2 linked regions of the Schizosaccharomyces pombe genome follow. The protein of the gene in region 1 interacts with the protein of each later gene in a pairwise test. Each region holds a gene or a part of one and is shown on either strand. Other genes may lie near its edges. The genes, in order: alp6 and alp4.

Region 1 (5,691 bases):
GGATAAAAGCTTGGGATCCTTGTGTGTTTGGAAAATCTCGATTACAGCCCTCAAAGAGTATGCGTTTTAACCCCAGATTTACTAATATCACTTCTGATAGTGATAGACCTGATAAACGGATTATGATGCTGACTGGACTGGCAGGTGCAGGTAAAACGACTTTGGCTCATGTTATTGCTCATCAGGCTGGATACAAAGTTTTGGAAATAAATGCTAGTGATGATCGTACTGCTCATACGGTTCATGAAAAGGTATCCTCTGCCATTAGCAATCATTCAGCCTTGTCATCTCAACCTACATGTGTTATAGTTGATGAAATTGACGGAGGTGATCCTGCATTCGTACGAGCACTTTTGAGTTTATTAGAGAGTGACGAAAAAGCGACTGAGTATTCTCAAGCTGGTAATTCAAAGAAAAAGAAAAAGTTTAAGAAACTTTGTCGTCCCATTATTTGCATTTGTAATGACTTATATACTCCAGCACTTCGACCTCTGCGACCATATGCTCAAATAATATATTTTCGACCACCTCCTCAAGCATCTCTTGTCGGTCGTTTAAGGACTATTTGCCGAAATGAAAATATAGCTGTTGACAGCCGCTCTTTGACTTTGCTGACAGATATCTATAATTCTGACATTCGAAGCTGTATCAACAGTTTACAACTTTTGTCTTTAAATAACAAACGTATAGATTCTGAGACCATAAAGCTTTTGCAACCAAAAAGTAATTCTTTTAGTACTTCTAGTTTAATCCAATCTCTTTTTTTACAACTTGATAATAAACAAATACGTGCAATTGAAGCATCGCAACCTACTTACTCACATTTGGACGCCCTCCTTGCAAGGATTGATGGAGCTAATGATTCTGAATCAGTCTTGATGAATTGTTTTCATACATACTTAGATCTTCCTTTTACTGATAGCTTACTTTCTAAACCTGCTTTGACAAGCGAGTGGCTTTACTTTTTCGACCAACTTCATTCACAATGTTATAAGGGAAATTATGAGTTATGGAGGTACATACCTTATTCCATTATTCATTTTCATTATTTGTATGCAACTCCTGAAAAGTGCCGCCTTCCGCATCCTCCCAGAAGTGATTTGGAAGCTTTAAAACTTTATCGTACTCGCAAAGAAATATTGGATTCATTCATATCGACGCTAAATGCTTATGAAAATCAAATGCATGGAGAAAGATCAATTCTTTTGGAACTTATCCGTACAATTTTAATTACCATAAATCCTACACTAAAACAGGTAAGGTCTATATATTTTAAAAAAAAAAAAAAAAAAAATTGCGTGAAACAATATTTTTTTAATTTACTAACTTTTTATAGAAAGAAGATTCTATGCCAAGGAGCGCTTTACCTTCTAAAATTGAGCATGCGATTAACATTTTAAATCATTATAATTTGCGTTTCCAACAGCTTCCCGTTGGAGATGGCAACTATGTGTATAGGCTTGAGCCGTAAGTTCCAATATTTTTATTTCTTTCTAGTAATAGCTAACGTTGACAGACCTTTGGATGAATTGGTTTGGGACGCACCTACAAGTTCATATTCTGTTCGTCAAATGCTATCTCAGGAACTGCTCAAGAAAAGGCTCGCAGACATTAAAAAACAAACCCTAACGGACAACCCCACTTCTTCGAATTCTTCAAGAAAGCGCAAAGATTTTAATTCCGGAAAAGCAATTAAGAGAGATTTTTTTGGCCGTATCATTTCTGAACCAAAATCTGAAGCAGTTACATCGAATAATGCAGCTTTGAATACAGGAGATCATCCAGTTTCCATCAAGCATGCAATCAATATCAAATTTCACGATGGGTTTTCCAATGCTGTGAGAAAACCAATATCGTTGAACGAGATTCTGAATTTCTAATCTAATGTGCATTAATATTTTTAATTTCAATCTTTTTGAAATAAAATCAATCATTTAATTTAAAAAAAAATCACTAGTAAAAATAGGTGTATGCGTAAATTCATCTAACCATTATTTCCTGACCGCGACTTCGGCGTGTACTTTGTCAATGGCTTTAAGATTTTGAGTTAACGATCAATACTTGTATTTCTCTATTTTAATTCAAAAATAAAAAAAATACTTTCGTCATTTGAAGTTCTCAAATGTCGGAGATTCATGTGAAAACTGCATTATCACGTCTGGCGGACAAGTATTTACAGAACTCCAAAAACCCTTCTGTCCCTTACACAATTGAAACGATCGTGTCTTTCTTTCAGGAAATAATTCACTCGTAAGCTAATTTCGTGTAAATGATCATGCTAACTGTTAGCATTTCTCCTGATACTTTTCAACTGGACATTGATGACATTCTGTACAAAATATATTCAAAAAGTATGTGAAGGTCTAAATACCAAAATTAACAGTTTTTTAGTTCCCCCCGAAGAAAACAATGATGCTTTATTTTCTAAATTATCTAACTTAGTTTCGCGTTTGAAAAGTCAAACGGTCATTCACAACAAATCTCAAATACTCTATTTCTTATACTTGCTCTCTCCTATTTCTCAGTCATCAAGAGATGTCTCCTCTCATTTATTAGATGAGTCTATTTCCAATCCTATCAATATTCCATCAACAGAAGTGGAATCCTCAAACTTTGGTCAGACACGTTACGATCAAGTTCCTGAAAACCCCCAAATTACTGATTGGGATGAAGGATTGGAAAATGAAAGTTCTATCTCAATTGCTCATGATTCATCTAGGCTAAACCGTAGTACTGAAACTTCTTCTGTTCAACATACTTTGATTACAGAAGCCGATTTGTTGTCTTCAATATCTTACGTACTTCAAGGAATTTCTACCGAATATGTTCAGTTTAAAAATGAATTAGCGCTGTTGTCTAAGAGAATACCTGTCCAATACCTTTTACAGATGCGAGCTCTTTCAGAGACAGGCTTATTATATCAGGAACTAAAGGTTTTCAGCAATTATGATCCTTCGGTCAGTCAATCCATTGATGGTGATAACGTTAGTAAAGCATTTATAAACGATCAGTCTTTAGCTTTACAAAGTTTAAAATCGGTCATTTCTAAAGAGCTGACTAATTTCCTTGCGTTAATTGCATCTCTGGATTCACAAATTCGAGCAGACGCTTCACTTGAGAAGCCTATGGTAACTATCCGGCGTTGCATTGCCTGGACGCAAGTTGCCAAGCTAAAACTTAGAATTTTGTCTTCAGTTGTTAATGATAATATGAACCAGGAGAATAAAAAAAGATTGATTCAAGTGGTTTCGAAATACAATGTGCATGGAGATCCGCTAATACAAGAATTGAGTGATAAAATACTAACAGAAATTACTGGACCTTTATACGAAATGATTGAAAACTGGATTTATAAAGGAGAATTGGTCGACCCTTATCAAGAATTTTTTGTTAAAGAAAAAAATGGTAGTGAAAGCCATGATCATCAAGGGCAAGGTGATGTCGTCTGGAAAGGTAAATATTTTTTAGACAAAGAGTTAATACCAAGTTTCCTTTCTGAAGAACTTGTCGACAAAATCTTTTTGATTGGAAAGAGTTTAAACTTCGCACGTTATGGATGTGGTGATTTTGACTGGGCACAAGAGCATTACCAGAAGCTAGTGAAAAAACTTAGTTATAGAGACCCTCATTCATTAGAAACAGTGGTTGATAAGGCGTATACTGAGTCCATTAATCACTTAGTATACTTGATGGAAGAGGTGTTTCATTTGACTGATCATTTAAAGGCTATCAAAAAATACCTTTTACTAGGACAAGGTGATTTTGTGGACTTATTAATGGAGAGCCTTGGTAATTCTTTGGATCAGCCGGCTAATACTTTGTTCAGACACAATTTGACTGCTTCTTTAGAAAGCGCCATTCGTTCAAGTAATGCATCTTATGAACCTGAATACGTATTAAAAAGATTGGATGCTAGGCTTCTGGAGCTTTCACATGGTGAAACTGGTTGGGATGTTTTTACGTTGGAGTATAAAGTTGATTCACCTATCAACGTAATAATAACACCATATTGCTCTAGACAATACTTAAAAATATTTAACTTTTTATGGAGGTTGAAACGAATTGAGTTTGCCCTTGCCCATTCCTGGAGGCGAGTAAATTTGGGCGAGCGAAATGTCTTCAGAAATCTGGATTACACAAAATTCGAATGGCATTTTGTCAGTTGTCATCTTGCGGAAATGATTCATTTTGTTTGTCAACTTCAATATTATATACTCTTTGAGGTAACGAAAAACCAAAACCCAATTTTGCATTGTATACTAACCATTGGAAACAGGTTATCGAAATTAGTTGGCAAGAATTACAGCTTGCTATGGAGAAACCAAACGCTACATTGGATACGTATATAGAGGCACATGAAAAATATGTTACTAGTATAACTCATAAGGGCTTGTTGGGTGGTGGTAAGTCAAGGAATGAAGATTCCTTCCTTCATCAGCTTCATGATATACTTAAAGTTATCTTAAACTTTCATGATGCAATTGAGTTGTTGTATAACTTTTCTTGCTCCCTGTCGAATAGAATTCGCATTAATGTACCAATTTCGACTGATGCTTTGGCAGCTCAATACACCCCTATAAAAAATGAACTCTCAAATTTTACTGAGGAATTCCAGGTTCGACTTCAAAAATTATTACATGGATTAGCTTCCCATAAGGACCCAGAAATGCGCTTTCTTTCCGTTCGTCTCAATTATAACGAATTCTACGTTTCTCATAGACGGCGTCATGATAAGGATGTTACCAGTCAATAAATGAGGTTCATGCATGATTATTTAAACTTTTATTACTCGTAGTAAACTATAAATTTAGTTATTAATATTTAATGTGATTTAACTATCGTTCAGCGGTGCTGTTTAATTTGCCTTTGCCAACCACCAACACCACCCACCCATTTGGTTAACTTTTTTCAGCAACCACATATACGGATATCATGTCCGCGCCTGCTGGTAGACTTCAACCTCAGCGTTTTGCTGCTTTACCTAATCCCGTTACTGCTGAAAATAAATTTTGGCGGTCATTCAAGGTTCCTGTCGTTGCCAAGGAATATAGTGCTATCACTAGTATTCATTTTTCCGCTGAATCCCCTTATGACTTTGCAGTAACTAGTGGGGCTCGTGTACAAATTTATGGAGCTAGTTCAAGGTCTGTTAAAAAAACAATTGCTCGATTTAAGGATACCGCATATTCTGGTAACATTAGAAAGGATGGAAAACTTTTGCTTGCAGGAGATGCTACAGGACTTGTACAGGTAAGTCTACATTACCAAAAGCTTTGAAAGATAGTTGCAATTAAAACGTTGATAAGCTGCACATGGAATTTTGTTAGTTTAGTTTAGCTGATTGAAGCTGTCATTTGCTAGTATATAGCTAAAAAAATACCATTTTTCCGGTGTTTGTCAACGCTTTAAACTTACTTTAGAGGTTTTCTTGTTGCCATTGATTGCTAATGTACTTTCAGATATTTGATTTGTCAACTCGGAGTATTTTGCGTGCTTTAGACGCTCATCAGTTTCCAGTTCATGTTACACAATTTTGTCCTTATGCCAATACCACGTTTCTCTCTGGATCCGATGACAAAACTGTAAAGGTCTGGGACTTGTCAACTGGTGCCGTTCAGTATGATCTTTCTGGACATGAAGATTATGTTCGTACTGCTTCATGGATGAGTGCTACTAGACTTGTGAGTGGTG
Region 2 (5,745 bases), 2.0 Mb from region 1:
GCGATTTGTTCACCTTGGTCTCATCCTCAATGATATTTTCAATGAAAAGCTTTGTGCGACCATATGGGCTTGTACCTTCACGAGGGCATGACTCTGGAATAGGAATGGTACCACCAGGTCTAGTAGGATCGCCATACACGGTAGCAGATGAAGAAAAGACGAAGTCACGTACATTATACTTCTTCATGCACTCTATTAAATTAATGGTACCGGAAATGTTATTTTTGTAATAACTCAAAGGAACCTGTACAGATTCACCAACTGCTTTGAGACCAGCAAAATGAATGACAGCAGATATGTTTTGATTTGCGAAGACCTTGTCCAAAGCTGGCTCATCAAGCAAATCCACCTGGTGGAATATGACTTTTTTCCCAGTGAGTTTTTCAATGCGGTGCACGGCTTCAACGCGAGAATTGCATAAATTATCGACAATTACAACATCATATCCTTTTTCTAACAAAACAACGCACTATTGCAGATTGTGGTTAGCAAAATATCTCAAAAAAGAGCTTTATAGAATATGGACGAAATTGTATAAAAGTAAAGAGCAGCAAGCTATATTCACAAAAGATGCGTGCTTAAAACATTTACATGTACATTACTAATCCTCTTCTGTATCTTCAAGCTCTCTACGTACCGTATGAGAACCTATATAACCAGCGCCGCCAGTAACCAACACAGTCCCTTCATGAACACCAGTCTATGAATCATAATTAGTATTTTCATACAAAAGAATGCTTTTGATTAATTAAAAAAGTTATTCATACCATTTTACACGTTATAATTTGATATTAAAGGGGTGGGCTCAAGACTGTAGCTATTATGCTCTTTCTTTGTTGGATATTCAGTTTCCTACATGCTCAAGGTATCAATGCAGGTCGTTACCTCCTGTAACCTGACATGATGTAAAACGAGCAAAAGCCACAATGAAGCTTAAGCTAAAAGTGAAAAGTGCTTGTATATCTCGCTAAACCATTTTATTGATATATCGCTAAAAAATTCCTAATCATAATATTATATAGTAACAAAGAGGTCGTCGGAATAAGTGTATAGCAGATGAATGCCTGTGATTAGGTGTATGGATTTTTCATGTTCATAAAGCATTGAGGTAGTAATTTAATGTATGTGCATTTACCAATAAATTTTTTTTTTGTATTTATTTTTTTAAAAGATGAACTCGAGATTTTACAACCAATATACACTTTGATAGATGTAATGTTTGTGATTTCACCACCAGCTTCATGCGACTACAAAATCCTTGCTTCCCTAGAAAAGCATTTTATCTGTAAATAAATCATTGATGCTTATATGTATTTTTGAAAAAATTTATTTTGTTAAAGAAATAACAAGTAAATGTATAATTAACATAAAACCGAGCTAAATTTATTGCTTTTATTATGCAAATATTACCTACTGGCTAGTAAATAAAGCGAAGTAGTCTGCATTAGAATAAAAAATTTAAACACAACAAAAAAAAAAAAAAAAAAAAAAAAAAAAAGATGAAGGGAATAAATCCCTCAAGCTTAGGATCTAAAATTTTTATCCATTCAAAATAAACTCTAGCATATAGAATTTGTCACTGTCTACTGCTATCCATATATACTCGAATGAGTATTTGGGGTCCTTTGAGTTTACGGTAGTCTTACAATAGAAAATGCTGCAGTCTTCTAGTTATGTATTTTTTGACTAATTTTTTTTATACTTTTTTGCATTTTTTAATGCTACACGGACCTGAGTTGGTTTGCTTTGAAATTGCGTTGATTGTTAGCTGGCGCATACTTACCAACCTACATCTTAAAACTGGCCTGCTGGTAAACAAGCATATCCGAATAATAATTACAAAGAGCACTAAATATTAAATAAATGTTCACACTTTTGTAGATTATATAAAAAAAGACTCTTTAAATGGTGAGATCGATTAGTTCGGTGCTTGCTAAAGAAGAAAGCGAGAATGGGAGTCCAATTCCAGCTCTCGAGGAAGGGAGCGTTTATCATGTCTCTTTGAAGAGTGAAGGTGTTTCTCCATTTTCTGATAGGATTCAATTAAATTATCTTTACGATGGGAAGACTTTTAGCGATCCTTCGAACTTAAATATCCATCAGCAGGAAGCATGTCTCATAAACGAACTCTTAAATGCATTTATGGGCATGGAGGGTGTATTTGTACATCTCCAAGACATGAAAGCATCCTCTGAGTTTGAAACCATTATTATGCCGCCATCGTTTTATATTCTTCCTGGATTTGATTTAGGTATAAAGGATATTGCTTCTGAGATGTTAGAGATGGGGTCTCATTATTTAAGTATCACAGCTTTTATAGAATCGAGAAGCCATTTTGAATACGGATTTGTTAACCACGCATTGTGCGCTGCTTTGCGAAAGTTTGTGATGGACTACGTGGTACTTATCATGCAGTGTGAAAATCAGAGCCGAATTGATCCAAATTTTTCTCTTCAAACTCTTCGCCTTTATACTCTTCCCACATCGCGTTCATTACGACAAGTGTATTTAATTCTACGTGACCTGCTTTTGTCTATGGAAAAGAATGCTTCCAGCAGCGATGATTTAGGTCTTAGTAACATCGACGATCTTTTAGAGCAACTTAATGAAGGAAATGACATTTCACATGTTGTTAATGCCACTAGGTCTAAGAAAAAGGTTTGTAAAGGTGGGCAAGTCATTTCTTTTTTGACCGAAAGTCTTACGAAATATGCGGGTGATCCTGTGGCACGAAAAATCCTAACCTATTTATTGCGCGAAGCTTCACGCCCTTATACAAAAATGTTGAATGAGTGGATCCATCTCGGGCTCGTAAATGACCCATATGATGAATTTATGATAAAAATACACAAAGGAATCACATCTATGCAACTTGATGAAGACTACACAGATGAATATTGGGAAAAACGATACGTGATTCGAGAGGATCAAGTTCCTCCACAATTGCTTGATTTACAAAACAAGGTACTCTTTGCAGGCAAGTATTTGAACGTCGTTTTAGAGTGTAGGAAGGGAGTTAATAACCTGGCTTCGTTAAATGCAAAAGACGATACTCAAAACCAGTTGCTCTGGCCTTCAACCTTCGATGATGATAACTTTACTTTAAATATCATGAATGCCTATGTTTATGCAAATGAATCTCTCTTGCAATTACTCCAGTCTTCACAGTCTCTTTACGCTCATCTGTACTCGCTCAAACATTATTTTTTCCTTGATCAATCTGACTTTTTTACAACATTTCTTGACAATGCTCAACACGAGCTACGAAAACCTGCAAAGTATATATCTATCACGAAGTTGCAGTCGCAATTAGATTTAGCCCTTCGTCAGCCTGGTACGATAACTGCGACTGATCCACATAAAGAATACGTGACTGTAGAAGTGAATCAAACATCATTAATAGACTGGCTCATGCATATTGTAAGTATCAGTGGTTTGGAAGAAGGAACATCATCTCAGGGAAACGAAGTTTGGAATGAATCAATCACGAAGCAAGCGGATGTGGGCAATGAAACTCGAAATTTTGAGAGTGAACACAATCGGAGCACACAGGGGACTTCAAAAGTTGGTAGCGATAAAGATATTAATGGATTTGAAACGATGCAACTATGCTATAAAGTTCCATTTCCCCTTTCACTTATTTTATCCCGCAAAGCTATTATTCGATATCAACTTTTGTTCAGATATTTTCTTTTACTTCGTCACGTTGAAATGCAACTTGAGAATAGTTGGGTGCAGCACAGCAAGAATAGTGCTTGGCGTCTCAATTCCTCCAATGCGAAAATCGAACAATGGAAAAGGAACAGCTGGTTATTAAGGACACGAATGCTTAGTTTTGTTCAAAAAATAATCTACTATACTACAAGTGAGGTGATTGAAACACATTGGGGGAAATTTATGGGAGAACTTGAGAACGCCCGAACTGTGGATAATTTAATGCAGGAGCATATCGATTTTTTGGATACGTGTCTAAAAGAATGCATGCTTACTAACTCGCGATTACTTAAAGTACAATCTAAATTACTTAATACTTGTGCTATGTTTGCCTCTTATACTTCCACGTTTACCCGATCCTTATATTTGCTTGAGAATTCCGAAGAAAGCTTTGATGAAGGAAGAATGGATAAGATGGAAGAAATTTTACGCCGGTACGAAGACAGTTTTAGTCGTCATTTAAAATCCTTAGTGAATGCTTGTAACTACTTTGCAAGTACTGAGACGGCGGCTCTTTTAAGTTTAGTAATGAAATTGACGGGATAACTAAGAAGAGACAAGATAAAACAAGGCAAGGTAGAAAAACTACAAATGGAACAACGTTACTATTGTTTTATTGAGATATGAAGAAACATCTGACAAACAGCAATGGAAATTGGGAGAAAAACTTTTATGGATATTTATATAGTCGGTTTTTGGATAACCTTATCTTTGACATCTTGTTGCTTGTACTCGTTAATAAAGAAATGACTTGGAGTGAGGATCTTGCGGAATGGCCAATTATCTTCATAAACAAGCATTGCTTATCCGCAGTATACATTGGTCCATTTTCAGTAGTTTGGACTTTTTTTTGGCCAGTTGTCACACTAAAAGCGTACTGCACTATTCGGTTAAAAATTGACAAAAAGACGACTGCCATTGGCCATGAATTTAAGAATGATTATGGAGAAAGGCATGGCGAGCGTTTAATATGCCAACACTTGTGTTATATAAAAAATAATCGATTTTTTAAAATGTCTGAAACAGGGTTTGCTGATAATGCCTGAGGAATGGTAACTTGGATTTTTGATCGCTAATTTTTTATTAGCTATGTCGCTAAATTTAAGGCAAGTCGGCAGTATGCCGCGTGATTGAGGAAGAACGAAGAGAGAGGCTAAGCATTTGTTCCTAGTCTAAAGAGCTATCGATTGATTTTGAAGTGATACAATGTATGCTAACGTTTGTACCATAGACAGCTATAGTAATGAACTTTGTTATGTGAAGAAGTACAGTTGCTACGACAGTAATGATGATGATGTATGTATATAAAAACCAAACCAAGGTTTAATTTAGGTGGTTATAGTATTGTATACGCAAAACTATTCATTTGTGTGCACTCGTAATGAATTTCTAGTAATTGTATTTTGCAGTTAAAAGTTTAATGGATGCGTAAACAAAGGAACAGGTAAGCTAGTAAAGCGCATACAAAAATTGTAATATCGAAGGAAAACGTCAATTTAGATTAGTGTAGGATGGTTATTACGAAAGGATAGAGTTACTATGAAAAGTGAGTACAGATTGTATGATTAAGTATGGGGGCGATAGCTGGGTGTGAGGCAAAGGAATCATATGACTTTAGAATTATCGCATCAAGGAGTAAGAAAAACGAAAACTTATCTCACAGTGGATTGCCCAAAATTATCAATCCCCCACCATGTAAGAGGAAACAAGAGAAACAGAGAGAGGGAGAAAGAAATAATTAGAAACTAGCAAATATACTTTACAGATTACAAATGGACACGATAAGTAAGTTAAGATGAAATAAAGGGGAAGATAACAAGGAACGGAATATAAAAGAGCATTTCGAACCGAATGAAACATTTTAAGCCGAATGTATTGAAATCGAAATATTTGAATTGAGAGATTTTTATTTTATCTGACTAATGATGAGAAAGGATAGAAGAGAACAAATAGAATAGAAATAGAACTAAAGATAAAAAATATGAGAACCAAAATAGCAAAACAAAAAAAGCTAAATACTAGGTAATTAAT

The links.
Region 2: the proteins of alp6 (region 1) and alp4 interact in a two-hybrid assay, tested with the Schizosaccharomyces pombe proteins (3 studies listed by BioGRID).

The regions. Positions count from the first base shown.
Region 1 is NC_003423.3:480,138-485,828, reverse strand, and holds alp6 (gamma tubulin complex GCP3 subunit Alp6), read left to right. Parts: upstream 1-2,000; 5' UTR 2,001-2,122; coding exon 2,123-2,250; exon of another isoform or gene 2,251-2,289; coding exon 2,290-2,351; exon of another isoform or gene 2,352-2,391; coding exon 2,392-4,223; exon of another isoform or gene 4,224-4,276; coding exon 4,277-4,753; 3' UTR 4,754-4,881; downstream 4,882-5,691. Other genes in the region: Ctf18 RFC-like complex subunit Ctf18, read left to right, coding at 1-1,256, 1,337-1,467, 1,517-1,880; U3 snoRNP protein Utp15, read left to right, coding at 4,933-5,250, 5,460-5,691.
Region 2 is NC_003423.3:2,522,156-2,527,900, forward strand, and holds alp4 (gamma tubulin complex GCP2 subunit Alp4), read left to right. Parts: upstream 1-1,905; coding exon 1,906-4,260; 3' UTR 4,261-4,979; downstream 4,980-5,745. Other genes in the region: UDP-glucose 4-epimerase Uge1, read right to left, coding at 1-469, 638-700, 768-770. UniProt on the Schizosaccharomyces pombe protein: Component of the gamma tubule complex that is required for the regulation of both interphase microtubules and mitotic bipolar spindles.